Linked DNA regions of Elephas maximus indicus. The protein of the gene in region 2 purifies or fractionates together with the protein of the main gene of each other region. This does not show direct contact. Links are inferred from orthologs where the notes say so. Each region holds a gene or a part of one and is shown on either strand. Other genes may lie near its edges. The genes, in order: UBAP2, BAG2, TBL1XR1 and HSF1.

Evidence for each region.
Region 1: the proteins of BAG2 (region 2) and UBAP2 purify together in Homo sapiens (affinity purification with mass spectrometry; 3 studies listed by BioGRID and IntAct, with this or other methods). This does not show direct contact. The link is inferred for Elephas maximus indicus from reciprocal best matches to the Homo sapiens genes BAG2 and UBAP2.
Region 3: the proteins of BAG2 (region 2) and TBL1XR1 purify together in Homo sapiens (affinity purification with mass spectrometry; 3 studies listed by BioGRID and IntAct, with this or other methods). This does not show direct contact. The link is inferred for Elephas maximus indicus from reciprocal best matches to the Homo sapiens genes BAG2 and TBL1XR1.
Region 4: the proteins of BAG2 (region 2) and HSF1 purify together in Homo sapiens (affinity purification with mass spectrometry; 3 studies listed by BioGRID and IntAct, with this or other methods). This does not show direct contact. The link is inferred for Elephas maximus indicus from reciprocal best matches to the Homo sapiens genes BAG2 and HSF1.

Annotation. Positions count from the first base shown.
Region 1 is NC_064827.1:42,908,202-42,915,319, forward strand, and holds the start of UBAP2 (ubiquitin-associated protein 2), read right to left. Parts: upstream 3,074-7,118; 5' UTR 3,063-3,073; coding exon 3,014-3,062; intron 2,740-3,013; exon of another isoform or gene 2,672-2,739; intron 1-2,671. UniProt on the Homo sapiens protein: Recruits the ubiquitination machinery to RNA polymerase II for polyubiquitination, removal and degradation, when the transcription-coupled nucleotide excision repair (TC-NER) machinery fails to resolve DNA damage. May promote the degradation of ANXA2.
Region 2 is NC_064819.1:122,937,862-122,945,426, reverse strand, and holds the start of BAG2 (BAG family molecular chaperone regulator 2), read right to left. Parts: upstream 3,105-7,565; 5' UTR 2,579-3,104; coding exon 2,466-2,578; intron 1-2,465. UniProt on the Homo sapiens protein: Co-chaperone for HSP70 and HSC70 chaperone proteins. Acts as a nucleotide-exchange factor (NEF) promoting the release of ADP from the HSP70 and HSC70 proteins thereby triggering client/substrate protein release.
Region 3 is NC_064841.1:22,503,225-22,510,607, reverse strand, and holds the start of TBL1XR1 (F-box-like/WD repeat-containing protein TBL1XR1), read right to left. Parts: upstream 3,041-7,383; 5' UTR 2,930-3,040; intron 1-2,929. UniProt on the Homo sapiens protein: F-box-like protein involved in the recruitment of the ubiquitin/19S proteasome complex to nuclear receptor-regulated transcription units. Plays an essential role in transcription activation mediated by nuclear receptors.
Region 4 is NC_064833.1:674,028-681,876, forward strand, and holds the start of HSF1 (heat shock factor protein 1), read right to left. Parts: upstream 3,118-7,849; 5' UTR 2,930-3,117; coding exon 2,813-2,929; intron 1-2,812. Other genes in the region: ribosome biogenesis protein BOP1, read left to right, coding at 3,346-3,459, 6,323-6,502. UniProt on the Homo sapiens protein: Functions as a stress-inducible and DNA-binding transcription factor that plays a central role in the transcriptional activation of the heat shock response (HSR), leading to the expression of a large class of molecular chaperones, heat shock proteins (HSPs), that protect cells from cellular insult damage.

The DNA.
Region 1 (7,118 bases), on a different chromosome or scaffold from region 2:
GACGTACAGATTACTTCACAAAGAGTAACAAAGTAAAATAGGTTTGTTTAAGAGCAGAGGAGCATCACAACTTTGTGAGCTCATACAGACTGCTTCTTTTGAACAGGCATTTGCTCTTTTATAACACACTCCCAATCCTGAAAAATAGGTCTTATCCGGAACCATTCCCAAAGCCAACTCTTCAGACAGTGATTGGGCTGGGCTATAGGACAGAAAATGATACTGGTGAGGAGTGAGCTTCTTGGATCAAATAGACACATGAGACTATGTGGGCAGCTCCTGTCTGGAGGGGAGATGAGAAGACAGAGGGGGAAAGAAGCTGGAAGAATGGACACGAAACTAGAGGGTGGAGAGGAGTGTGCTGTCTCATTAGGGGGAGAGCAACTACAAGTACATAAAAAAATTTTTTTTTTTTTTTTTATAGCAAGGTATATACAAATTTTTGTATGACAGGCTGACTTGATCTGTAAACTTTCACTTAAAGCACAATAAAAATTAAAAGAGAAAAAAAATAGGTCTTATAACAAAGGAAATCTTAACAGTAAGTCACCATTGGGGGTGGGGGGAGGATTGGGAATAAGACTAGCACTTTAAAAGTAAAGGCTTCACTTGAGATCACTTCAAATCTTCAAAATAGGTCTGTACTTTCTACATGTAGTTTGTACTTAAAGGTGGTAGAGACAGTGACCAGTTCACATCAAAACACAACTGCATATTTAGAATAAAGACAATAAACCCATTCTTCTCCCTGTTCTCCCACCATTTCTCCCCCAAATAATAGTCACTCACGATAGTATCAAGACACTCCTGGTGAGCACTATACAGTCTGCACCAGTTACCAGGAAAGGGAAGCAGAGGTGTTACTGATGTTCTGGCCTTGTTCTAAAGGTAGCTCCATGTGAGTGCTGCTGGTCCAGCCCACATTTAAAGAGAGAGGCCAGAGGAAACCAGAGCAGCAGGAAACAGGCAGGAGGGACAATTACCACAGCCCTTTCCTATGGCCTCATTCTCTCCCAAGCCACCATTTCCCAGCCATATTTCAATCACAACAAAAACTTCCCCTCACTGAACCGTTTAATAATAATTGAAGGTCAGCCGGCAACAAGGAAACAGGAGAAACCAGAACTGTGGGAAACAAGTAGGGCATTGGGGAGTGAGGGGCAGGGGCAATCTTTCATCCCACGTGTGAACTAGCCATAAGGAGGAAAAACCAGGAGCAGCACACTGGAGGCAAGCAAAAGAGTGATGTAGGAAACTAATCACCTTTGCCTAAGGATAAGGCAAGCTTCACAGCAATTAAAGGGTGCCCCCCAAAAAATGCTTTTTTGCTTCCAGCCAAGGGGCTCCAGACGCAGAGAAGCCACACTGGTATACTGGAAGACTATATCATCTTCAGAGAGTGGAATTTATTCCCTTTCCTGAGATAGATGGGGACCAGCCCAACCTACCCACCCAGTGACTAAGGTAAAGGAGTGCTTAGGTGTGATGTTCATCTTCCCTCCACCTTTATCAAACAAATTGACAGTAAAAAGAATGTACAATTCATGATTAAAAATGAGAACACAATAATTCTTGACATAACCGTAGGTGAAAAAAAGTGCTATCGAAATGGAAGAAAAAATATAAGTGAATTCACACAGAAAGTGAATGTTTCATATATTTATATATATACACACACACACATACATACATACAAAACAATTTCAAATAAAAGATGATCTTTGGATGGAGACCTTAAAAAGGCCTTAACTGTTAGGGTATGCAGGCGCTGGATAAGAGAAAAGCCTGAATACTGAGTGATCGTAAACTTTGGAAAAGCAATCTCCAAGAGAAGTAGTAGTAAACTACAGAATTAGGTCAAACATGAAAGACTACGGATCGATCCCTAGAGAAAACAAGAATCCATAGAGTGAATGTGAGATGCCTGGGCAACTAATTACACTGAATGAGGAGAGGGCTGGAGGAGAGTGGGAAAGTGATTCAGAGCCAAGAAAACTGAATTGTCATCTACCAATGAAAGATACAACATTTTGAACACGTCTGACAGGCAGCGCTCCACAGTTTACAAAGCGCTCTCAAATCGACATTAAAGAACAAACTGTGACACAACCAGATCACAGGAACTGGGGCTGAGGAAGAAAACGGAGTTCTAAGAGTCTGAGGCCAAAGACCTCCGAAATGAGAATAAGAGGTAGAACTGAACTATGCCTCTGGGTTAGCGCAGAAGTTGGGCTCTAAGAGGGCCAGTCCCAGGACTAGCGACGGGCGTAAAAGCGGAAAGATGGTAAGGATGGTAGCGAGAGCGTGGCGCGGGAGCTCGAGAGGACTGGCAGGGACGAGGTGGTAGAGAAAACCACACCCTCCAGGACAGAAGATCGGTGGCGGGGGGGGGAGAGACGCCCCCAGGGGCTGGGTGGGGCCGGTGGAACTAGGATGGGGGTAGACAGGAAGGAGAACCAGGGCAACCCAGAGAGGAAGGGGGGTGCCCGGGCCTGAGGATACGGAGGAAGCGTCAAGCTGAGGAGGGAAGCTTGGCCCGGTCCTCGCGGGTGGGCGCTGGGGCAGTCTGAAGATGGTTAGGGCAAAGAAAAGATGAACCCAGGACTAGAAAGCGCACGCTGCAAGGCTCAGGAACCTGGAAAAGGGAAGAAGAAGGACAGGTGGCAATTACCGCTGCTGCTCCCGCTGCACTCCGACCCGCCGCCACCACCACCACCGCCGCCGCCGCCGCTTCTCGTTACCTGCCAATGTGCCGCTTACAAAGCCGCGGCAGCAGCGGAGGCGGCCCGGTCCGTCACGTGACCTCTACGTCACCACCGAAGGAGGAGCCACAAGCCGCTTCCGTGCGGCTCCCGAGACCTCCCAAAGCGCGCACCGCTTCCTCTAGCCACTGCTTCTCTCAACCCCGTGAGGCCAACAGCGTTGAGGTGGCGGGGGGCAAGAGAAAGGAGCAAGTGAGGGAAGTTTTATGGGATTTCCCCTACTTGGAAAAGGCTAGGGAAATATTACCCACCGCATCCAGGATGCCCTAACTGCAGCTTGTCGCGCTGTGATGACCTCATAAGGCACTGCAAGTCGCTCGTCGGCCACCTCCGGCGATCTCGTATCACGTGATATGGTGTAACCATTCAAGGCAAGCCTGGCTTCCCACACGTTGCACGAGAGGACTACGACTCCCAGCATGCTCCATAGCAAAGACATGCACTACCACAGCCTTTTCCGTGCAGGTTCATAGACGTAAACCTGGGAACATAGTGCCAAGGGAAGGCCAAGAAGAAAAGTGGACATCTCTAGCTTCTGAGACTAATACCAGTGGGTTACGTCGACCAGGTGACTGAACCTGGTTCTTGCTGGGAGATGTAGTCCTGGTGGGCGGACGCCGCTACCAAATTCCCGGCCTTGCGCTCCGCCCCTCCCCCTGCGCGGGAAAACGCCAACGGTTCGCCAGAGCACCTGCAGTACCCGGGCGGGTTCAAGAAGACCCTGAACGGGTCTGGTGCGCTGGGCAGGAATACCTCGCGAGTTCCGCCTTGGTTAATGTGGAATCGAATTGGTTCTGCATTCCCCATTTCCTTTCTGTGTGGAAAGATTAACATCTATCGGACGCCTGCTCAACGTTAGCCGTTTGTATTATCATTTTATTAAATTTCATAAACAACCCCCTGAGGCAGGGATTGACCGGATTTTAAGGATAAGGAAAGAGGATTAGAGAGGTTCAGTTATTTTCCGATTTAAGAGATCCAAACCAGGTTTTCTGTCTTCGAACGCTGACCCTCCTCTCCATAAGATCTGACCCAGTTATTCCTTCAGGAATTAAGCATAAGTACATTTATAATTTTAGTATGTTAGGTATTTTCTCATTTATTGCCTTATTTGAGCCTCAAAAGCATTATCCCAACTTGGTTAGATACACGGACTTTTGAGTCCAGGAAGCCTTACCTCAGAGCTTTGTTACCTTGTGATAATAATACCCACTTTGCAAGATTGTGAAAATTAAACGGGATTATGTAAAATACCTGCCTGTTGTTGTTGTTAGGTGCCCTTGAGTCGGTTCCGACTCATAGCGACCCTATGCACAACAGAATGAAACACTGCCCGGTCCTGCGCCATCCTTACAATCGTTATGCTTGAGCTCATTGTTGGAGCCACTGTGTCAATCCACCTCGTTGAGGGTCTTCCTCTTTTCCGCTGACCCTGTACTCTGCCAAGCATGATGTCCTCCAGGGACTGATCCCTTCTGACAACATGTCCAAGGTATGTAAGACACAGTCTCACCATCCTCGCCTCTAAAGAACATTTTGGCCGCACTTCTTCCAGGACAGATTTGTTCGTTCTTTTGGCAGTCCGTGGTATATTCGATATTCTTCGCCAACACCACAATTCAAAGGCATCAACTCTTCTTCGGTCTTCTTATTTACTGTTCAGCTTTCACATGCATATGACGTGATTGAAAATACCATGGCTTGGGTCAGGCACACCTTAGTCTTCAGGGTGACATCTTTGCTCTTCAACACTTTGAAGAGGTCCTTTGCAGCAGATTTGCCCAATGCAATGCGTCTTTTGATTTCTTGACTGCTGCTTCCATGGCTGTTGATTGTGGATCCAAGTAAAATGAAATCCTTGACAACTTCAGTCTTTTCTCCGTTTATCATGATGTTGCTCATTGGTCCAGTTGTGAGGATTTTTGTTTTCTTTATGTTGAGGTGCAATCCATACTGAAGGCTGTGGTCTTTGATCTTCATTAGTAAGTGCTTCAAGTCCTCTTCACTTTCAGCAAGCAAGGTTGTGTCATCCGCATAACGCAGGTTGTTACTGAGTCTTCCTCCAATCCTGATGCCCCGTTCTTCTTCATAAAGTCCAGCTTCTCAGATTATTTGTTCAGCATATAGATTAAATAGGTATGGTGAAAGAATACAATCCTGGCACACACCTTTCCTGACTTTAAACCAATCAGTATCTCCTTGTTCTGTCCAAACAACTGCCTCTGATCTATGTAAAGGTTCCTCATGAGCACAATGAAGTGTTCTGGAATTCCCATTCTTCCCACTGTTATCCATAATTTGTTATGATCCACACAGTCGAATGCCTTTGCATAGCCAATAAAACATAGGTAAACATCCTTCTGGTATTCTCTGCTTTCAGCCAGGATCCATCTGACATCAGCAATGATATCCCTGGTTCCATGTCCTCTTCTAAAACCAGCCTGAATTTCTGGCAGTTTCCTGTCGATATACTGCTGCAGCCGTTTTTGAATGATCTTCAGAAAAATTCTGCTTCGCGTGCGATATTAATGATATTGTTCTGTAATTCCCACATTCTTGGTAATAGGCATAAATTTGGATCTCTTCCAGTCAGTTGGCCAGCAAGCTGTCTTCCATATTTCTTGGCATAGACGAGTGAGCATCTCCAGCGCTGCATCTGTTTGTTGAAACATCTCAATGGATATTCCATCAATTCCTGGAGCCTTGTTTTTCACCAATGCCTTCAGAGCAGCTTGGACTTCTTCCTTCAGTACCATCGGTTCCTGATCATACGCCACCTCTTGAAATGGTTGAATATGGACTAATTCTTTTTGGTATAATGACTCTGTGTATTCCTTCCATCTTCTTTTGATGCTTCCTGTGTCGTTTAATATTTTCCCCATGGAATCCTTCACTACTGCAATTCGAGGCTTGAATTTTTTCTTCAGTTCTTTCAGCTTGAGAAACGCCGAGCATGTTCTTCCCTTTTGGTTTGCCATCTCCAGCTCTTGGCACATGTCATTATAGTACTTTACTTTGTCTTCTCGAGAGGCCCTCTTGAAATCTTCTGTTCAGTTCTTTTACTTCATCAATTCTTCCTTTTGCTTTAGCTGCTCGATGCTCAAGAGCAAGTTTCAGAGTCTCCTCTGACATCCATCTTGGTCTTTTCTTTCTTTCCTGTCTTTTCATTGACCTCTTGGTTTCTTCATGGATGATGTCCTTGATGTCATTCCACAACTCGTCTGGTCTACAGTCACTAGTGTTCAGTGCATCAAATCTATTCTTCAGATGGTCTCTAAATTCAGGTGAGATATACTCAAGTTCATATTTTGGCTCTCGTGGACTTGCTCTGATTTTCTTCAGTTTCAGCTTGAACTTGCATATGCGCAATTGATGGTCTGTTCCACAGTCGGCCCCTGGCCTTGTTCTGACTGATGATAATGAGCTTTTCCATCATGTCTTTCCACAGATGTAGTCAATTTGATTTCTGTGTGTTCCAGCTGGCGAGGTCCATATGTATAAAAAAAAAAATTTTTTTTTTTTTTTTTATAGTTGCCGTTTATGTTGGTGAAAGAAGATATTTGCAATGAAGAAGTTGTTGGACTTGCAAAATTCTGTCATTCGATCTCCGGCATTGTTTCTGTCACCAAGGCCATATTCTCCAACTACTGATCCTTCTTTGTTTCCAACTTTCGCATTCCAATCGCCAGTAATTATCAACGCATCTTGATTGCATGTTCTATCAATTTCAGACTGCAGCAGCTGATAAAAATCTTCTATGTCTTCATCTTTGGCCCTAGTGGTTGGTGCAGAAATTTGAGTAATAGTCATATTAACTGGTCTTCCTTGTAGGCGTATGGATATTATCCTATCACTGACAACGTTGTACTTCAGGATAGATCTTGAAACGTTCTTTTTGACAGTGAATGCAACACCATTCCTCTTTGAGTTGTCATTCCCAGCATAGTAGACTATATGATTGTCCAATTCAGAATGGCCAATACCAGTCCATTTCAACTCACTAATGCCTAGAATATCGATGTTTATGTGTTCCATTTCATTTTTTGACGATTCCCAGTTTTTCTAGATTCATACTTCGTACTTTCCAGGTTCCGATTATTTATGGATGTTTGCAGCTGTTTCTTCTCATTATGAGTCATGCCACATCAGCAGATGAAGGCCCCAAAAGCTTTACTCCATCCACGTCATTAAGGTTGACTCTACTTTGAGGTGGCAGCTCTTTCCCAGTCATCTTTTGAGTGCCTTCCAACCTGGGGGGCTCATCTTCCAGCGCTATATCAGACAATGTTCCGCTGCTATTCATAAGGTTTTCAGTGGCTTATGCTTTTCAGAAGTAGACTGCCGGGTCCTTCTTCC
Region 2 (7,565 bases):
CCAGGGGTCCGTTTCTTCTTAATAATAATTATTAATTGCAGTAGTTGTTAAAAAAGTAACAATAACAAACAAGTTGGGTGTCTTGAGCCACTGCAAAATGAAAAATTCAGACTCTGTTCAGAACTGGTTATGAAAACGTGGAGAGACATGAATTACCTCTTTAAGAGGAAGGAACAAAGGAGATGGAGTCAAAGAAGAAAGGCTAGTGTCATGATAAAGTATTAGAAACAAATGGAATTCTTTAATGATTTGTAGAATGCTGCCAAATATTTTAAAGCATTTTAAACATACACACCAGCTCGTAATTCAAATCATACAGCATTTGGCATAATCTTGCTTTCAGTTTCATATGGAAGAAATTTCTTTCTCAATCTACAGAACCAGTGTGATTGGAGAATAGTAAATGCGTGCTTCTAAGTACAAAATGGTAACATTTTCCTCTACCTAATATACCCCGCGTGGTTTCAGAACAACTTTCATAGGAATGGCAGCATTTTTTTCTATCTTTTCTTACCTGGTGAAATACTTCCTAAGTTTTCAGTTTCGTTTCTTTTTTTAAAGGAAGAAATAGAGCTTTTAAAAGTCTAGAATTATTAGAAAAGTCCTTGAAATGAACAATTAAGACACATATTAATCAGTAGTCCTTCCTCCTCAGCTCACTGGTTAATTAAGCAAGTTGTAATTTAATCACTTACATGCAGTAATTATTTTACATTAATCAAACATCTGACTATAATAATACTCAAAAAACTAGATGCTTTCTTTTAAAGAGGCACACTTGACTACTTTTGTACCCACCACGTGTGAGGTATTAGTTCTGGTTTCAGGACAATGACTCAGCTTGAAGGAGGGGCCACGCCCTCCTCATTCTTTTAAGGAAAAAACCGTTTCTTTCTGAATTGAGGAGACTCCTGAAAAGTCAGAAGACATGTTCTCAAAGTTCTAAAGACCAGGAGAGAGGTGTGAGTTACTTTTTACACTGCTGCATGGAGAGAAATATTACTCTTAGAGACAGAAAGTCGTTGAGGCCTTTGATCTCTAGTTTTGCTCCACTTTCTCTGGGTTGAATGGGTCAGGTTTACTATTTTTGTGGAAATTCACATAGAAGCATTGTTTCTGTCTTGTTCCATTTGTCTCATTCTGAGCAGAACCTCAGAACCTGGCTTAGGGCTCAGATTTCTCTGTTGCCATTCATGAAATCGTCGTACGTGGAGAATTTCTCATTCTCTGACTCTTGGGAAAGTTGGAAGTGCCTCAGTGCTTAGAGAATACTGTGGCTATTACTTTTCTTGGAAAACATACATCTCTTTTTGATTTGGTATATTAATCAGGAGAGATAAACACATACATGCAGCCCTTCTTACACTTTTTGGCTCACATACACCTTTTTGAACCTGGTGAAAACTGTGAAACAAAACTCTGTCCAATTTCGGGGGGTTCCTGTATGCCTTAGTAAGATCTTCGTTTAAGTACATAAAGCTGTACACAGATCAAAACGTTCATAGGAAACAAAAGTTTTCATATACTGTTAAAGGAATAAAAAGTATTGCCAAAATTTATTATAAATTCAGAAATTCTATACAAGCCTACCACTGCATTAATTACTTAAAAAAAAAAAAAAAACCGTCGCCGGGGAGTCGATTCCGACTTGGAGCGGTTAATCACTTAATGAAATCTTAATCAGGTAAAAGGGGAAACTATGTTTTCAAGCTTTCAGGCCACGGTGACTAGCACCTTCAAGAAGGTGTCATGTCAGCACAGTGACTTCCATATAAGAAGGTACACAATGAATATTTAGAGACTAAGGGAATGGCTGAATACAGTATGCGGGGTTACCAGAGGAAGGGAAGCTGCGGTGTCTTTATTCCATAAAATACCCAGCTACCGTTCACCCCACAGCCCAGCATCTGTCCCACTCCTCTCTAAACCTTGCTTTTGGGTGGATTCCTTTTTTTTTTTTTTTGCTCTAAAGCGTTCTGGAGCAACAAAACTGATCATTTCATATCGGGGGCCACACTAAACTGTTGCCTCCCTTAAAAACGCATAACAGAAAAAGTGTTAAGTTAGAAACATTTGGAAGGACCATGTAGAGGCACAAAGAAGGTTCTAGAAGTTCTGCTCACCAGGAGTGCCACAGTCCCTAATCTCAAACAATGTCATCGTAACTTTTATCTTTTCTGATTTGTATTTTCTCCGCTGCCAAACGCCCAGACACGTGAATCAGAATGTGACCACCAATAACACGCTCACAGGTTTAGCTTAAATAGAATCTGTCCTCTCTCGGACAAGGAGAAAAAACACCAAGAAACAAAACCGCGCCATCTCCACCAAAAACAAATCTCAAGCAAGCACGGCTCTTGCTGCACAGGCAGCCCCGGGAAGGCGGGACGGCGCCCGGCCGGCCAGGCCCCGCCCGGCCCCGGCCGCCTCCGCATGGGAACCCCGCCGCCGCCGGCCGCGCTCACCTGAGCTCCAGCTGGTCCAGGCTCTCGAGCAGGCGGCTGGAGCGGTCCGCCATGGAGGAGGAGCGGCAGAAGCGTCCTTCGTTGGCTTTCGCGTTGATCTTCGCCTGAGCCATCTGAGCCTCCGAGGCGGGGGGGCCAAGAGGTCACCGGCCTCTCTGGCGACAGCGGCGAGTGGAGCGCTCCCGGGGCCGCAGGCGTCGCTGTCACCGCGCGGGGCGACCGCCTCCTTCTGACGCCCGCGGGGGACGGCCCGGGAGACGCGCCGGCACTGCTGCTGCCGCTTGGCCAAAGAAGGACAGACGCGGCGCCCGCGGGGCTCGGGGGCTGCTGCGGCGGTGGGGCGGGGGGAGCGAAGTGGTTAGGGACTCGCGGGTCACCGGGTCTCCAGGATAGGCAGGCAGAGCAAGGGGACCTGAGGAGCAATGCCAGGCAGCCTTCAAGGAACCCAGAAGGGCGGACACAGGCAGCGGGTTGGGCACAACGCGAGCGGCTGGTACTTTTGCTCGCCGAAGTCTGGAACAACCGACGCCCACGCGGAGAACGCCCCGCCTCCTTCCCCGGAATGGACCCCCCTGCTCGGTGCAGCCTGAAAGTAACCAACGCCCACAGGTGGGTGTAGTGCTCAGTGATGGCTTCTTTCAGTTTCTCCCAGCACCCATAATTCACAGCAAGGAAAAAAAAAGTTAAAAGTCCTTTGATGTGGGCAGAAATGGTCCCTTTGGGGAGCTGAAAGCATTTATGTACAACCCCTAGGCAGTCCAGACCTGTCCTGTTACCCGTCCCTTTCCTGAGATGAAAATCACAGCCTAGACAACATTAAGCCTATAAAAAAAAAAAAAAAAAGCTACCACACCTGTCTGTCTAGCTGGATATGGGAAGCAAGATGAATTTGCTTCGTTTCCACCCATTCTAATGAAGCAATTTTTATTGATTTGTTTTTACTGTTTATTCAAAAAAATTATTCCTGTAGGAAGTGAGTGAAATAGTTGGTATTAACAATGAAGGCCATTTTATGTTTAACTTATTTAAATCTCCTAGTAACAATGGCAAGATGCAGTAGTCCACTAGGTGAGATACCATAAAGGTCGGTAAAAGATTGGAGTAGGTCTGGGAGTATAACGATTTCTGTTTAAAGGAAAAATTTGTTTTGTTCCCATCTTATTATAGCTGTGTGTCATACAGTAAAGGCGAAAATGTGCAGAGCACAGAAAATGACAAAACCGTTTAAAGCTGAATCACAACCTTTAATCAGACATCAAAGCCATTTAATACTTGAACATAAGGCCCTTAAACCCAGATTGAAATTCCCTCTGAACTCATTCTAAATACTAATGAACTATTGGTGTAGGAGATTATTTGACCTCATTAAACATATTTTGTCATATTGTGACACAAGCTCGGAATCTGAAGACATTTTGTTAATGGTGTGAAAGTCTATGAAGTAAATTTAGAACCATGCTGAACTCTTTCTCTGATATCCTAGATCCAATCCATGAGTAAAATCCGTTAGCTCTACCTTTAGAATATATCCAGATTTTTCTCCCCAATTCCACGGCTACCATCAACTCTCACCTGGATTGCTCCAGTACCCTCCTGTCTGGTCTCTCTGCTTCTACTCTTGCATCTCATGTCTTCTTGATAAAGCAACTATAGTTAATTCTTTTAAATAAGGCAGATCATACCACTCATTCTCAGCAACCTAGAATGGTTCCTCATGCGAGAGAAAAAGCAAGTCCTTAAAAAGGCCTAAGGCCTTCCATGCACAGTTCCCCACCTCAATTCTCCAATCTTATCTGCTGCCCTCCTAGCTCATCCCGCTTCGGCCACACTAGCCTTCTTGCTTTTCCTTGAATATGCTGAACTCACTTCTAGACCTTTTCACTGCACCTGGAACACTTTTCCCCATATATAGTTGCATGGCTCACTCCCTCACCTTCTTTTGCTCAACTTTACCCATCAGAGAGATATTTCCTGACCACCCTATTAAAAATAGTAAGCCCCTCCTTCATCACCCTTATCATCATCAGATATACTGTTTTGTTTACTTGCTTATTATCTAAAACTCCATCCAACCCCCTCTCCCCAAATGTGTGCTCCACAGAGGGGTGGAGGCTTTATTTTGCTAACTGGTACATCCCGAGTACTTTGAACAGTTGCTGGTACATGGTAGGTATTCAATAGTTCTTTGAATGAATGAATAATGTAATGAAAAGCATCTTTATGTTAGAAACATTTACTTTTGATAAATAAGCCATATGACTTTCTCTAATGTCATCCACTTGATTATATCTTCTCCTTGTGTCTAAATTAAATTAAACTATGACGTACTTTTAAATGACTTTTAATTGCTTTACAGGTAGAAATACAATTGGTGACAATTATTAATTAAAACATTAAACTACCTCTTCTTAAAGGTCATGATGAAATATTCCTTTCCTGTCATTTCAAAAGTTTTGGTTACTCTCTACCATACAAACCACAAAAGCTTATTAATGGAATATCAGTGTACATCACACCCATGTATGGAACTCTGGCAAAGAGCTACTGTCTCCACTTGCCCCACATCTGCTAAACCACTCTTCTTCCTGGACCATTTTTTCTGCTCCTATTTAGAAAGCTCTTGCAAGTATCTTTAAAGTCCGGCTTAATGAGTACCTCCTAGAGCCCTGCTTGACCACTTCAACCTACAAATTGAAAGCATAATGTGGTCATTTTAGAATGATGACAGGTAAATTCTCAAGCTATGGTGTTTTAAAAAAATGTAAGCAGGGAGGAACAGAACTGACATCTTAAGAAATACACAATTTGGTTTTCAATGTGGGTTGAAAAGGCTGTTAATAATAAAAAAAAAAAAAAACAGTAATTCCACTTTACAATAAAATATCCAGTGTTACAGAGAAAGAACAAAATTCTGGCCATGGTATTTTTTGTCTTAAAGAAAGCTTTATGTTTAAAGAAATGTTTTCAAGTTTGGTAAGTAATTACTACTCAGTTTTTTAATGCTAAAGGATTTCTGGTCAAAAAACATGAAACACACACAGGTAGTATCATGAGCTCTTCTTACTTTGCTATTTATGTAATATTTTTACTATTCACAATGGGGCCTCAACATCTAAAAATTAAATATGTAATCCAAATGCAGGAAATTGACAATTCAATGAATAACTACAATGAAGCTACTTTCATAAGAAATAATTTTTTTAAAACAGTTAAGGAAGAATATTCCTGAGTAGGCCTTACATTATTTTTTGAGGAATATTATGTTTACATAAATATATTTAAAAAAGGACTAAGATTATTAAAAATAAGTGTAATTCTACACAAATATTTTAGCATCATTCCCCTTCAACAGTAGCTCATACAAGTCATAGAAAAGTCTAAGCAGGTAAAAGGAATAGAAAATGTTTCCTTTTAATTATTTCAAAAAAATTGATTTTTTTTTTTTTCTAGCAATGTACTCCTCTAATTAAAGCAGGGATATACATTTGAGCAAAACCCAAAAGGGACATTGTTGGTAAAAATTTTAATCTATTTACATGATCAATTTCCACTACTCTGGTCTAATAATTATAAATAAAGATCTCAAAATGTATTTTATATCAATGCCACGTGAGAAGATTTACAGAAAAATTGAGCAGCTTTATTTCTATTCATTTTCACTCCTAAAAAAATAAACCAGAATCATCTGTACAGTACAAATAAAATTAAAGAACACATATTTGAGAAATATATAAACAATAGCCAAGATTTTTTCTATTTTTTAAAAATCATTTTAATCTAAGTATATGCATTCGAAGTTAGCTGAGAAACGAATACCTACATTAGAATACATGATTTATATTTGTATTAATATATATTCCATTCCTTCTGAACATTTTTGCCAAATAGCACAAAAACACAAAGCAAATATCAGACTCTGAATACATGAATGCAAAAGCATATTCTCAAATACATTTATGCTAGTAGATTTCGGTGTCCTTTAGAAAACAAACTCTAGAACTCATCCTGAGAATCTCTTCAAGGCCACTTGATGTTGTGTGGTAATATCTTTAATTACATATCCTCAAGACTTCTTCTAATAGCTTCTTCTAATTCCACATCTGCATTAAAAAACATAAATTTTAATACTTAGGGCAGAAAGCTAATAAACATGTGCTTTATATAAATCTCATCAAGCACATTCACCTTTTCAAAAAGAAAAGGAAAAGTAAACTGGAAAAACTTAGGATAACTTGGAAGTTTTTCTTCCATAAAATTTGAGTATTATGAAACATGAGAATCTGGATATTACCTCAAAATGAAATTCAAAATACATGAATATAATGTGCTAAGGACCTTGCAAGTTATTTTCATTTAGGGATGGCAGTCAACTGGCAAGTAATCACTTATTTCAACATTAAAAAGAAAAATCTACGTCACTTATTTCCAAAAAGACTTGAAGTGATGCATATGAATCTTAAAACAAATAGAAAAGCAAAACCACAAAACAGCAAAATCTCACAGGCTATCAAAAATTTAACTTTAACATTAGCAAGTGGCCATCTAAGACGCATCAATTGGTCTCGACCCACCTGGAGCAAAGGAGAATGAAGAACACCAAGGACACAAGGTAATTACAAGCCCAAGAGACAGAAAGGGCCACATAAACCAGAGACTACATCAGCCTGAGACCAGAAGAACTAGATGGTGCCCGGCTACAACTGATGACTGCCCTGACAGGGAACACAACAGAGAACCCTTGAGGGAGCAGGAGGGCAGTGGGATGCAGACCCCAAATTCTCATAAAAAGACCAGACTTAATGGTCCAACTGAGACTAGAAGGACCCCAGAGGTCATGGTCCCCAGACCTTCCCCTAACTCTTCAGACAGGGATTAGACTGGACACTGGGATAAAAAATGATACTGGTGAAGAGTGAGCTTCTTGGATTGAGTAGACACATGAGACTATGTGGGCAGCTCCTGTCTGGAGAGCAGATGAGAGGGCAAAGGGGGTCAGAAGCTGGCTGAATAGACATGAAAACAGAGAGTGTAGGGAACAAGTGTGCTATCTCATTAGAGGGAGAGCAATTAGGATTATATAGCAAGGTGTATATAAGTTTT
Region 3 (7,383 bases), on a different chromosome or scaffold from region 2:
TATTGTGTCAATACGATGGAAGAAGGGAGTGCAGCATGTTTTGAAGACGGAGGCCCCTCAGTTTTTAAAGCAAATGTGGTGTTAATCTTTCTAAGGCTCTCAGAAAGCAGGGGTGGGGGTGCTTCTCAGACCTTTGTGTAAGCCTAGGACAGAAAAAGCGGCTACCCTTTGGAAGTTAAAATACAGCTTAAAAGAAACCTTTTTGTTATTTTCAATTCTTACTATCTTCAAAGCAAAATAATATTTTTGGAGCTTTTCAAAGTGAGGAGTTCAGTTTTTATACTTTTATCACAATATTTGGAAATAGGTGTAGTCATTTTAAAGCAATAGTCTTTTCCTCAATATCAGAGACCTAAATTTTAACACCAAAAAAAAAAAAAAAAGTATCATTTGAAGTAACTTTTACACATGTGGACTCCGGGTGGCCTAATAAACTCAGAGATGAAAGCAGAAGCTTTCTTGGCTAGGGTCAATAGCTGTGTCCCCTGATGGGCCCCAGCTTGAAGGCAGCAGACAGGCCTTTCGTGACCCACATGAGATGGGGGAGGGGAGCCGGAAAAACAAGCGAGGAAACAGTGTGATTGGAAACTCCCTCCCAACCACCAGAAAAGTTCAAAGCATTTGTCCTTAGAGCTAGCTATTTTGATATTTGAAAGAGGGAATGTTAGATTAAACAATGTCACCCGATGGGAATTTAGATAACTGCAGGTTTCCAAAACACTGTTCAGAGTGTACAGGAAAACAGAACAAAGAGTTTTGCATTTCAGTAGGATTCTAAAGAGGTTTATTTATCACAGAGCTTGCATTTTTGCAAAGTCTCTTTAAGAAGTGATGGAAGTACAATATCTTCATTTTTTTAATATTTTAAGAGTTGATTAATGAAATATGTATGTCACCAAATCCTCTCTTCAAGAAGTAAACTATCTCAATACAGTTATCATTATCTGAACCAGTGAAACAAATCTATTTTTGGCCTAGCTTGTTTTTAAAGTTTTACACTGTGCCACAGGGGTCTTCTCCAGACAGCAGCCACCGTAAAACCAAACCACTCTTCCACTGAGTAAGGACTTCCCAACCACACCAGTTCTTAATAGGATCATCCCCAAACTTGGGGCCCCAGCCTTACCCAGCCCGAGAATGACCCCTGTAACTACTCCCATGGTGGAGAGAGGGCCCACCTTCCTCAGGACCCATGGCTTCTGGCCTAGAGTTTTTGTACCCTAGACCAAACTGCCTCCTCCCATAACAGAGGTTGTGTTAGTTGAACCTCAGCATAATCATAATAATTCATGCGTTTGTTTACCTCATCGTAGGTTACAAGGTATTTCTCTGCATAAATTACTTCATTTGAATACCAACCAAAACCAAACCCAGTGCCGTCCAGTCGGTTCCGACTCATAGCGACCCTATAGGATAGAGTAGAACTTCCCCATAGAGTTTCCAAGGAGCGCCTGGCGGATTCAAACTGCTGACCCTTTGGTTAGCAGCCATAGCACTTAACCACTATGCCACCAGGGTTTCCTTCATTTGGATGTCATGTTAAAAATCACTAAAGGCGGGATCAGGTACCACAACTAGTTTTTATAAAGTGCTGCTCACCTGTCATTATTAAAGCATGCTCACCGAAGAGAAAACTCAAGTAAGTACCTTTGGGCAAAGAAAAGCAACTAATGTAGAAAAACCCGATTCCCCCCTCCCCGCCCCACCCCCATGAAGGGAATTTTAAATGAGACCATATTTTGATCACTTTGATTTCTGTACTTTGGGGACCTAACTGAAAAGACAGTGTGCTTTCAACATGAAATGCTCAGATACTCACCCCACAAGGTTGCATGTATTGTTACCTCCCCTTCTAACCTTTCCAACTTACCCAGTATGCAAGATCACAGGCTGCGCTGAAATTCACAGGGTAAGTAGGTGTAGGGCGTAAGGACAAAGAAGTAACTATTGTTGCTAATCTTCAGAGCTCTGTCCTAGTCTAAAAGCTGGCCTTATGCTTTGAATATAAATGTTAATATGTTTCTAGAAAGGAGAAATTATTGTTACAAAGAAATTCTAAAGCAAAAAAAAAGGGACACATTATTAAGAAAGTTCTCTTGAACTTTCTAGCTAATTACTCAACAAAGAGAAACCTTATACTAGCAACTGTTACCAGAAGTTACATATATGTTATAAAATGACTAAACAAATCCTGACTTGTTTTATTACAGTAATATTACACCCAGGGGGTGTGGTATGGCAGGATAGCCTACATCTTTGCAACTTTCATCATTCAGGAAATAGAGCATTTTAAAGTGGTTTCTTCACAGGCCTACAGGACCTCATGTTTTTTAAAGCCACCATGATGTTTTACATTGTTGACACGAACTGACAGATACAATTAAAGTGTTCAACACAAACTTAATACCATGAAAAGGATATTTGACACCAAAAATACCATCCTGGTGCTTTTTTGATATTCTTTACTCACCCAGGAACTCAATAGCTTTATGTCTGTAGCCTTCACCCTCAGGCGTCTTGCTGATAGCCTGTGATATGTTTCTGTTTCATTTTGACTTTGCAATTCTTTGTCTGTGGTTCTCCCAGCTATCAGCTTTTGCCATCCGGACTGATGTACAACTCAGCCACACATCACGAGATCTCAGCACACAAGTTCCTTTTCTCCATCTGCCCTTAGCGTGCCACTCATGACCTTTTCTCATCAGTGTGAACCTTGTCACAGTTTTCCATGCCTCTGTGACCCGATTTCATTACAACAATGAACTTTACTTGGGAGTCTTAATTTAAATTACAAAAGAAGCACACAACCATCTTACAACTATTTACGCCTCTCCCAGAATGGAAATAGCAGGTTGTGTCTTGTGTTTGTGATTAAGTACAGAAAAGCACCCGCATACAGAATATAGTACTATACCCATCAATTACTTACTTATACTGACCAGCCATGTAGTTCCTCGGGGCGACACTCAAGGCCTCAAATTACGTTGATGGGTTTGCTGCTCATTCTGTCAACAAATATTTATTGAAAGCTTGGTGTGCCAGGCAGTGGAGCTGCTGTTTTAGTTTAATGTGCCTATCAGACACCCAGTGAAGATGTTGAGTAGGCAGCCAGATATGCAAATCTTGTGTTCAGGGGAGGTATCTGGCTGAAGATATCATTTTAAGTCAGCATCCCTGGGTGGTCCAACAGCTACCATGCTTGGTTGCTAACCAAAGGTTGGAGGTTTGAGTTCACCAAGAAGCTCCTTGGAAGAAAGACCTGGCAATCTATTTCCAAAATATCAGCCACTGAAAAATCCTATGGAGTGTAGTACTACTCTGACACACATGGGGTTGCCATGAGTTGGAATTGATGCAATGACAACTGGTAGGTATTGGTTACCATGCTTGGTTGCTAACCAAAGGTTGGAGGTTTGAGTTCACCAAGAAGCTCCTTGGAAGAAAGACCTGGCAATCTATTTCCAAAATATCAGCCACTGAAAAATCCTATGGAGTATAGTACTACTCTGACACACATGGGGTTGCCATGAGTTGGAATTGATGCAATGACAACTGGTAGGTATTGGTTCAATAGAGTAAGGGTATTTAAAACCATGGGCTTAGGTACAATAGATAAGGGAATAAGTACAGATAGGGAAGAGTTCACTGTTACATCCAATGTCTCCTGCACCAAAATGTTTTTGGTTGTTTTTTGTTGTTAAATTACCAAGGCCTTTCTGCTCTTGATTTAGTCAGAAGCCTATACATCATATTTCATCATCACAGTATTCTAACTATGCAAGGATATTGATGGAAGCCATAGTAATATTAATTGCAGTTATTTATTGAACATGCTGCCAAGTGTTTTTCAAAGTATTTTATGTTTGTTGTCTCTAATATTCTCAATAGCCTGAAGAGCTAAGTAATATTATTCCAGTTTGACATATGAGGAAAATGAGGCAATGAGACCAAATAGCTTTTCTGAGGTCACGAGGCCAATAATGGCAAAACAAGGATTTGAACTCAAGGCTGTCTGTGTGCAGCATCTGCTCTTCCACCTTGTGAAGCTAAGCAGGTCAAGGCGGGAAAGGGCAAGCATTTGCTGAATGAGGAGAACAGGGAAATACAAAGTGGAGGAAAGGAGAAACTGCTTGGAGAGGAGGAACCCCATCTAAATCACATTTATATGACATCCATTTCCTAGATCGGAATCGCAAAAAATGTTTATTGAATGCAGACGTGGTTATAACCGACGAGTCAGATTCACTCTCTGGCACTCTTTGATACTACTAGTGTACCTATCTCCTCATCACAAAAGGAAGGACTTTGTGCCCCTCACTCCCTGCCTCTCACCACTTCCTCTGCCACCACATGGCACTATGGGTGTGGGGGTGTTCTTTTTTTTTTCTTTTCTTTTATTGTGCTTTAGGTGAAAGTTTGCCGAGCAAATTAGTTTCTCATTAAACAATCAATACACAAATTGTTTCGTGACATTGGTTGCCAACCCCATGATGTGTCAACACTCTTCCCTTCTCTACTCTGGGTTCCCCATTTCCATTTGTCCAGTTTTCCTCTCCCTGCCTTTTTGGCTTTGCTTTTCAGCAGGTGTGCCCATTTAGTCTTGTACACGATTGAACTATGAAGCACTTCCTCATGTGTGCTATTGTTGGTTTTATAGGCCTGGCTAATCTTTGGCTGAAGGATGAACTTTGGGACTGAATTCAGTTTTGAGTTAAAAAGGTGTCCAGGGACCCTACTCTTGGGGTTTCACCAGTCTCTGTCAGAAGAGTAAGTTGGTCTTTTTTTTTTTTTTTTTTTGGTGACTTTGAATTTTTTTCAACATTTTTCTCCCACTCTGTCTGGGACCCTCTATTGCAATTCCTGTCAGAACAGTGTGTTATAGTAGCTGGGCACCATCTAGTTCTTCTGGGCTCAGGCTGGTGAAGGCTGTGGTATTTGTGGTCCATTAGTCCTTTAGACTAATGTTTCTCTTGTGTCTTTGGTTTTCTTTATTCCCCTTTGCTGTAGGTGGAGTGGGACCAGTAGATGTACCTTAGATGGCTCCTCACAAGCTTTTATGACCCCAGATGCTACTCACCAAAGTCAGATGTAGAACATTTTCTTTATAAACTATGTTATGACAATTGATCTAGATGTCCCCTGAAACCATACTCCCCAGCCCTCAGTCCAGTAACTCGGTCCCTCAGGGAGTTTGCTTATGCCTATAGAGCTTCTGGAAACCCTAGTGGTGTAGTGGTTAAGGGTTCGGCTGCTAACCAAAAGGTCAGCAGTTCAAATCCACCAGGCACTCCTTGGAAACCCAATGGGACAGTTCTACCCTGTCCTATAGGGACTCTGTGAGTTGGAATCTACTTGATGGCAATGGGTATAGAGCTTCTGTGACTTTGCCTTGTTCAAGTTGTGCTGACTTCCGAGTATTGTGTACTGTCTTACCCTTCACCAAATTTACCACTTGCCTATTGTCTAGTTAGTGTTTTTCCCTCCCTACCTTTCCCCTCCCATCAAAGATTGTTTCTTTCTGAGTGTAAACCTTTCCTTGAATTTTTATAATAGTGATCTCATACAGTATTTGTCCTTTCGTGATTGACTTATTTCACCTACCATGATGCCCTCCAGATTCGTACATATTGTGAGATGTTTTGCAGATTCTTCATTTTCTTTATCAGTGTGTAGTGTTCCATTGTGTGTCTGTACCATAATTTCTCCATTCATCTGTTAATGGGCACTTAGGTTGTTTCCATCGTTTTGCTATCGTGAATAATGCTGCCGTGAACATGGGTTGTGCATATGTCTATTCATGTGACAGCTCAATTCTCTAGGATATATTCCTAGGAGTGGGATTGCTGGGTCATATGGTATTGCTATTTCTAGTTTTTTTAAGGAAACACCATAATCATTTTCCAAAGTGGTTTTACTGTTCTATGGAAACCCTGGTGGTGTAGTGGTTATGAACTATGACTGCTAATCTAAAGGTTGGCAGTTCAAATCCACCAGGTGCTCCTTGAAAACCGTTATGGAGCAGCTCTGCTCTGTTCTATACAGTCACTATGAGTCGAGATTGACTCAATGGCAACGGGTTTGGTTTGGTATACTGTTTTACATTCTGCGGGGTATTTTTGGAGACAGCTCTTTTGGGCAAAGAAGACAATAGACAATAATTCAGTTTTATTTATTATACATTTGAAAACCTGCTTTTATTTCCAACTTTGAAATTCAAGTTACATACCCAACTCTCCCGTTAAGGAGATGTTTACAATTTGGTTAATTCCATTCCCTAGAATTATTAAACTGCATTTATACATTTAATGTATTCAATCTTCTTTTAAAATATTTCAGATGCTCAACAAACAAAAGAATCACAAATAAGTAAGGCTCATAAATATGATAAACTAATTACAAAATATGATGAATCTTATGTTCTGTTGAACATAACAGAAATATTTAGAGATTTAGTAAAATTCTCAAATCTTTTTGCTTAAAAAGCTAGCACCATTAGGTAAGTTATGTTTTTATTTGATAAAATATTTTTATTTTATTTTTTATTTAATTTTTGAAGAACAAGGCTTTGATACACAGCCAAATGGGCTTCCTAATACTTCCCGTCCATTAAACTTATTCCATTCAGCAGCAACAGGCAGAACTGAACAATTACAACCCTTCCCTGAATTGTTTTGCTGAAGATAAGTTAAAAAATGGTCACAGCAGCACATTGACGAGGAACTGCCAGAAATTCAAGCCAGACTTAGAAGAGGACATGGAACAAGGGATATCACTGCTGATGTCAGATGGATCTTGGCTAAAAGCGGAGATACCAGAAAGATGCCTACCTGTGTTTTACTTACTATGCTAAGGCATGGAACTGTGTGGATCCTAACAAATTATGGATAACATTGCAAAGAATGGGAATTCCAGAACACTTAATTGTGCTTATGAGGAACCTGTATGTAGATCAAAAGGCAGTCATTCAAATACAACAAGGGGATACTGAGTGGTTTAAAACCAGAAAAGATATGTACCAGGGTTGTATCCTTTCACCATACTTATTCAGTCTGTATGCTGAACAAATAATCCAAAAAACTGAACTGTATGAAAAAGAACATGGCATCACCATTAGAGGAAGACTCACGAACAACCTGCGACATGCAGATGACACAGCCTTCTTGCTGAAAGTGAAGAGGACTTGAAGCACTTACTGATGATGATCAAAGACTACAACCTTCAGTATGAATCACATGTCAACATAAAGAAAACAAAAATGTTCACAAATAGACCAATAAACATTATAATAACCAGAGAAAAGATTGAAGTCAACGGTTTCATTTCAGTTGCATCCACCGTCAATGCCCCTGGAAGCAGCAGTCAAGAAATCAAATAAACACAAGA
Region 4 (7,849 bases), on a different chromosome or scaffold from region 2:
CCCACCTCAGAGCTGAGGGAAGAGAGGTGCTCTGCCTCTGTTAGGGAGCCCTGGCAACAGTCCGAGGCCAGGGGTTCAAGAGCTTGAGTTGAATGAGCTCCCCTACCCAACAGACCTGGCCCTGAAGCTGGGTGGGTTCTGGGGCGGATGGGAGACTGCCCGTGCACCCCATGGTCCAGCTCCTGCCAACTCCTGGAGTCTGGTGTGACTGCCCAGGGAATACCTGGGCTGGCCTGACTCCTGCCCAGCCACAGGACCAAGTCCACACAGAGGCTCAGCACCTCTCCGAGCAAGGCCTCTGAAGACTGACACTACGGGCACTCTGGGAAGGGCCCATGCCCTGGGGACCACAGCGTCCCCACTCTCCTGTCAGGGCACAACATTTAAGGAGGTGCTCACTCTGATGGCCCAGCAAATGCAGGTCGGTCTTGTGAGTTATTCTCACTAGGCCTCTAGTTCCCGTCCCGTGTCACACAAGGGAGCACTGCGCCTGCCTGCCAGCACCTCTGGGCAGAGCGGGAGAACGCTTCCAGCACAGGCACGAACATCAGCCTCCCTGAGGCCTTTGGGGGCTGGGCTCTGGGTGACAGAATCTGCAGGGTCCTGGACTGGGGCTGAGCTGAAAGAGGGGCTGCAGGGCTTTGGTGGGTGTCCTCAGATGTTGCAGGATGGGAACATCCCCTCCTTTCTAGGGCCAGGTAGCCCGCAGTCCTCTCTCTGCCAGAGCTGGGTTTTGGGGCTCACTGTCACCACCAGCCCCATTGTGTCCTGCACTGACCCCAGCCACTCAGGCTGCGTGCTAACCAGGGAGAACCACACGCCTGCACCCTGGCTGGCTCCCGCCCCATCGATGGGATCACAGATGGCTGTGATACAAGAGCAAAGCCTCTCTGGGGACCCTGCCCAGGCTTATGCCTGGTGGACGATGGCCGCAAACCCAGCCAAGTACAATGCTCCAGGCAAAGGCCTTTCCCAGAACACACAGAGGGTCCCGGAAGAGAGTGTGCTGGCCCAGAGGCCTGAGATGTGGTGCCTCACAGCCTCTGCAACCTCTAGGATCAGCCCCCTAATACCCCTCCCCCTCCTGTGAGCTAAGGGGAATGAGCAAGAGGTGGGAGGAGAGGGTCAGGGAGAAAGAAGCACTGGGTCATCTTGTCTGGCCAGGAAGGGTTGAGGTCTAGATGGAAGGGATGGCGGAAACATGAAGAGAGCATGCGGGGGAAGCCCACTGCCTCTTCCAGGGACCTGTACCTGGCATTAAAGAAATGGTGGTAGGGGATGGGGGGGTGGGTGGGTGGGGTAGGGGATACCCACACAGGAGATGGCAGGGAGCAGAGGCAAAAATTTCTCAGAAAAGCGCTTTGAGGGAGTGCAGGGTGAGTGCTCTACCCTTCTCTTTATCCCCAAATGCCCTCTGACAAGGCAGAGCTTCAGCCCAGACTTCTCTTCATTCCTACTGGCTCAAGGAGGAGTCCTCGGGTGGTGCAAATGGCTAAGACATTCACCTGCTAAGCAAAAGGTCAGAGGTTCAAGTCTGCCCAGATATACCTCAGCAGAAAGGCCTGGCAATCTACTTCAGAAAAATCAGCCACAGAAAACCATTTGGAGCACAGTTCTAGTCTGACACACATGGAGTCACTGGCAGTCGGAATCACTTGATGGCAACTAAGCTTAAGCAACTGGCCTACAAAAGGGCCATAGTTGCAGTCTGAGAAATTCCAATGTGTGAGCTCACAGGAAGTCTAAGTATGGCTGGAAGCACCCAGCCCTAACATGGTGTCTCCAAAAGTGCATTCCTTCAGGCCACCAATCACATCCCAGCCCTGAGCTGGGTCTGTGGCCCTCATCAGACACACTGTCACAGCCAGGATGTGAACAGCCATCTGAACGCCAACTCCAGACATAATCACGGATTAACTCCTACAAACCAGAGCTGTCGGGTACTTCAGGGTCAGGTCGCGTAAACAAGCCTGCTGCCGGGCAACGGACTACAAGGACGTGAACAGAGATGCCCCACCAGGAACGAAAAACAAAACTGCTCTAAGGAAACCCACTTCTGGGATCCGGAAACGCACAGGAGATCAGCTTGAGTTTATGACGTTTTACTTTCTGTTTTCATCCCCTTTCCTCTCCACTAGAGCAGCGCCCTGCGATTCATGTGCCAAGTTCTGATTTGCCTCTGAGTAACACCACCGCAGTAACACGTTGGAGATAAAAATCACCACTTTGGCACAATGTTCGTTAGAGAAACTGGACGTTTGGTCTAAGGACAGTACATCTCCACGCTTGTCCAACACTTAGCAAAGGAGCAAAGAACGAGAAGGTCCAGCCTTCCCTTCCCGTCCCGGAGAATCTTCAGCCGGTCAGCAGCTGAACGAGGAGGAGGCTGAGGACAGCAGCGTTGCTAGAGGCTGCCACCTCACCTGCTGAAAATCCCTGAAACCAAGTCGGGGTGTGGGAAGAGCAGGGCCGTTACCCCCAGGACCCTAAACATGCTTCAAAGCGGACCGAGTCTTGGAATTCCCTTTCCTACGGGGCAAACTCGAGACCTGCAGGCCTTGGAACCGAGCGGGGAGGCGTCCCCTGAAAACTTCGCGCCCCCACGGCGGTGGCTGGCTGGCTGGCTCCCCGCCCCGCCCACGGGGGGTGAGAGGCGGGAACCTGGCCCCCGCCTTCCCGGGCTCCCACCGGGACTCGCGGGCGGCCCTCGCCCCTCCCGGAGCGGCCTCCCTCCCACGGCGGGGCAGGACCCGCCCTCCCGCCGCCCGGCGGGCTCCCTCCCCGCCCTCCGACAGGCCGGCGGCCCCCTCACCGGGCTCCAGCAGATGAGCGCGTCGGTGTCCGGGTCGCTCACGAGGGTCCACAGCTTGGTCAGGAAGGCCGGGACGTTGCTGGGCCCTGCCGCGCCGGGGCCCACGGGCAGATCCATTTCGGACAAGGCAGGGAGAGGCAGAGACAGCGGCCGCGAGCAGAGGCCGAGGAACGGGCTAGCGCCGTCGCTGCACCCGCAGCCAGCGCCGCGCCGCCGCAGCCTCCCGCTGCGCACACACAGCCCCGGGGCCTACCATGGCCGCCGCCATCTTGGGACGGGCGCGCTCCCGCTGGCGCCGCCCGGCGGCCTGCGTCCCCACCGGCGCGCGCGCGCTCCCGGCTCTGGGCCCCTTCCCGGCCGCCACGCGCCTGCGCGGGATGGCTCTGCCCCGCCCCCCGCCACCGTTCACCAATCAACGCAGGCGGGGCGGGGCGGGCCGGCCGCGCCCTCTGACCCCGCTGCCACGCCCCGCAGGCGCACGCGGCGGGTCGCTGCCGGAAGCGGCTGTTTAAGCAGAGCAGGCTCACCGGAGGATGGCGGGCGCGCGGGGCGCGCGACGTGGGGCGGCTACGCAGTCGCGGCCCGGGAAGCGGCCCGCGGAGCCAGACCCGGAGCCCGAGCGGGAGTCGGAGCGGGAGCAGGAGGAGGTGACAGCGGGCGCGGGCCGGGGCGGCGGGCGCTGGGGCCGGGGCGGCGGCGGGCGGGCGAGGCCGAGCCCACGCGGCCGCACGTGCGGGGCGCCCCGAGGCTGCTGGGCGCATCCTCCGTGGCTGTGGCAGCGACACATCGCGCGGTGGCTGGGCGGAGAGGAGGCGTCAGAGTTGGCGAGGCTTCGGAGGTGAAGGTCGGGGATGGGGTTTCCTTTAACCGAAAGGGTATCGGTGCCGGGCTGCTGTTTGCAGGGGACCGCTCCAGGCGTGCCCAGGGCGGGTAGGATGGGACAGCCGCCTCCCTAAGCAACCTGGGGTTCGGCATTAATTTCACAGGCGGCGCAGGCGTTCCCGCCCTAGTGTCGGGTGGCATCCTAGTGGAGGCCTGTTGTTGATGGCTGTTCAAGCAAACCTCGCCGGCACGCAGCTAGGAGAGCCCACTCGAAGTGTGTGTCGGGCTGGAGCTGAGAGCGAGGATTGAGTCGCGTGGGGGAACTAGGAATCTAGGAAAGGTGCCGTGGGAATCGGGCCTTGCCTTCTAGTGGAGGCGGCGGCAGGGGAGGGGTCCAGGCAGAGGTGTCTAGGCAGTCTGGAATCAGGGGCACTTCTGTGGGGTTGGAGAACAGTGTCTAAGGAGGAGCGAAATGGGAAGAGGGTGGGAATGGAGGGCAGGGCATCACCCTGTCATTAAGAACATTTGAACTACAAGGACCAGAGAGCAGTGCTGAGACTGCTTGTGCACCAACACCTCGTGGGATTTGGTTTCTTGGTTTGGAGGTTCATGGTTTCACGGCATATCCCAGGTCACTGTTCAGTGCTTCTGTACTATTGCCTGGCGCTCTGTGTAGTGCCTGATGTCTTAAAAGCTTGCACGCTGCCATCTGAGGCACAATTGGTCTCCATTCACCTGGAACAACAGAGGAAAAAGGAAATTCAGGAGTAGGAGGAAGATACGGAACGTGTGGCTAACTGCCCCCATGAACAACTGCCTCTTTTACCATGAGACCAGAAGAACTGGATGGTGCCCAGCTACCGTGAATGAATGTTTTGATGAAACATTTTGTGGAAGAATCCTGATAAAAGGGGGGAAATGCAGAACAGAATTTCAGATTCTCATGGAATCCAGACTTCCTGGAGTCACAGAGGGTGCCCTGAGATCATCTTTAAACCTTAAATAAAAAATATTCTCTGAAGTCTTCTTAACACGAAACAGTAGTTTAGCTTAGCCAGTAAAGAATGTCTGCCTTGAGCATTATGGTCTTTTTAGCACTGTTTATATGGGACCACAGTGGCGACAGCAACTGGAGAATTAGATTGGAACCTTAGGGAGCAGTGAGAATGTGTTAATGAGGAGTAACCACTCAGAAAAGGGGGGTGAGAATAGTTGCACAACTCAAAGGGAATCATCATTGCTAAATTGTACTTGTAGAGCTGTTGGATTGGTGTGTTTTGCTGTGTACGTTCTCAACAAGAACCAATAAATGAAAACTTAAAGAACACTTGAGCTTGCTCCTCCAATATACGCTTAATTATGCAGTACTTGTTTGTATTATGAGGCTAATATGTTAGATATATTACAGCAAGGAGAAAAGGATGTTAGAACGCAGAAATGTAACTAGAGCCCAGTGGACAGTCTGCCTTTGAGCCTCTTGCATTGGACACGTTGTTTTAACTGAACCCACTTAGCACTGCTGGTTCTGCTTCCCAGCTCAATCCTGCTTGGTTGGGGGTTTCGTCACATCTGGAGCACAGAGGCACATCCGCTGGATCCTCTCACAGCTGACACCACTTAGCTGGATTGGTGGGAGCTGTCCCTCCTCTTTGTGAGATAAATTCACCTACACCGCCTCTGCTGCTGCCCACCCCTCATCCCCAGCAGGCAGTGCTCCACTCTGGTCGTGGCTGCGGCCATCACTTGGGCTGGGCACTCATCAAGAGTTTCTGTCGTGTTTGTTTCCAAACCAGCTTATGCCATTTCTACTTGCTTTTGTGATGTGTAGCTATCAAAACGTCAGAGATATAGTGTGAGCGTATGAGAGGGTCATATCTGTGAAAACAAAGTTTGATGCTAGAAACAGCTGGTGAGCATAGGCAAAGATGAAGTTGAGTGCTAGGGACCGCTGATAAACACAGGCTGTCCAATTAGGCGAGATGGTTGTGAAATGTTGAAGAAGGTGGGAATCCAGAATTCTGCATTCAGTTTGCTTCCTAAGCGCCTTTGCGTCCTTGTCCTTTGGTAAAGGCCACGCCAGGATCGCCCACTGTGCCTCCTCAGTCTCAGACTTTGGCCCAGAGAGCCAGGCCCTACACTGCATCACGTTTATGAATGACTTTAACCAACATTGTCAGTTTACTGATTGACTGGCTGTCCCAATCTCATGCGATGAGGAGGCTTTTGCTTCGGGTAGTAAAAGTCCCTCGTGGATTCTAATTCTCTGCTGTCCCCAGCCCCTTTCCTAGTAGTGCTCTCATGGCTCTGGGGACCTCGAATATCAGGGTGAGGCATGGGGGGTTTCAGTTGGCATGGAAAGCCGGTTTTGGGAAGGCAGTGAGAACTAAACTCTAAGAAGAGGATGGTGTCCTTGAAAAGTCTCTGTGTCTTGTGAGATACTGGGAAGTAAAACGCCCATTCAAGGGTGAACGGCGATGCTGTCAGTGGAGGTGGAAGATGGGAAAGGTCTGGGTTGGGCTGGATGGCTTGGGTGGAGGTGGAGGGTTGCTGCTGCTCAGAGCTGTGGTGGCGCCTGGAGGAGCCGGTCTCTGCTGTGCCTCCCTGTTCAGCACAGGGCCTGTGGGCAAGCAGGTGGGCAGGCAGGTGGGCAGGCAGCTCCAGCTGAACCAACACTCTCCTTCCCTGCAGCCCTCTTTCTGCAGCCCTGCTCCTAGTCACATCGATACCAGTGACTCTGGCCTCTCTAACAGCGAGGAGAGCGTGTTCTCCGGCCTAGAAGATTCTGGCAGTGACAACGACAGTGAGGATGGGGCCAACAGTGATGAAGGTCATGTCGGGACGGGGAAGACCATTGAGAAGCAGTCACAGGTGGGTGGGCAGGGCCTCCTGTGGGCCTCCCCAGAAGCCAGGCAACCAGGAGCAAGCAGTGCCTGCCAGGCCTGGGGCTCACCAAGAGGCTGTGCCTTTCTCCACAGCTCCCTCGGGAACCCCGTGGGCACCCCTTCCTCAGTGCCCCTGGGGCACCTTTAGTGCCAAGTGCAGCCACCTGTTTGTAGCTGGGGTAGCTGGGCTCCAGAACACTGGTTCCAGCCACAGTGGGTGTCAGTCACTGGGGAAAAACTATGTCACCCCCACAGGACAAGGGTGAACTCTCCTGGCCCAGCCAGACTTTAGCTTAGCAGAGCCTGGGGTGAGGCCCGTGTCCCAGCCCAGGGTACTTATGAGGAGTAGGTGGAGCACCTGGGCGACGGAAGAGAGCACGGAGCCTGGCTGACCCATGGGAGCCCTGCGGGGACCGGGGCCGGGTACTGTGATGATGGGGAAGGTTGATCCCTGCTCTTGATTTAAGGAAAGTGGGAGAAAAGCTTAATTTAACAAAATACAAACTGACTATGTTAAAAAGTTCTAGAAACTAGTTTACACCAGTTTGTACTTCAAACAGCCCTGGTGTTCTGGTATTCGTGACTTTGACTTACACAGAAGTCTACTCCTGTAAGAGCACCAAGAATGCTGTGGTTGTTTCAACTGGGTTTGATTTGTTTGGTAAGGAAGACGAGATGGAGCCACAGTTCACGTCCTCAGCATCTGCCATTTGGGACCTGCACTGACCCTGGTGCGAATGGCCGCGGGGCACGTCATCCCCGTTGGGAAGGGCCACATGCACTGTGCCTGTTTTGGCTTGTAGGATCATGGGAAACTTTCCCTCTCTTCTCAAAAGTACAAAATCTGCCCTCTCTGAAGAAAAGTCTGATGATATGTCAGCATGTTCAGTAATGAGTGTGTGTTCCCTTGCAGTGCCCTTGGCCCCAGGTGGTGAGTACAGCTGTCTCAGTCACCTAGTGCTGCTGTAACCGTGGGTAGCTCTAACAAATTTATTTTCTCATAGGCTGGAGTCTGAATTCAGGGTTCTGGTTCTAGGGGAAGGCTTTCTCTCCTTGTCTCCTTGAGCTTCTGCTCCTTTGTTTTCTTCTATTTCTCAAAAGAGATTGACTCAAGATACACTCTAAATTAATCCTGTCTCGTTAACATAGACAACCCATTCCCCAATGGGATTATAACCACAGGCATACCCCGGAAAAAACCAAAGCCTTTGCCGTTGAGTCAATTTCAACTCATAGAGGTTAGGATTTACAACACGGTATTTTTTGTGGACAGGACGTAATTCAGTCCATAACAATAGTTAATAGTTTTTGATTTCCAAGTCTCCCCGCTTTT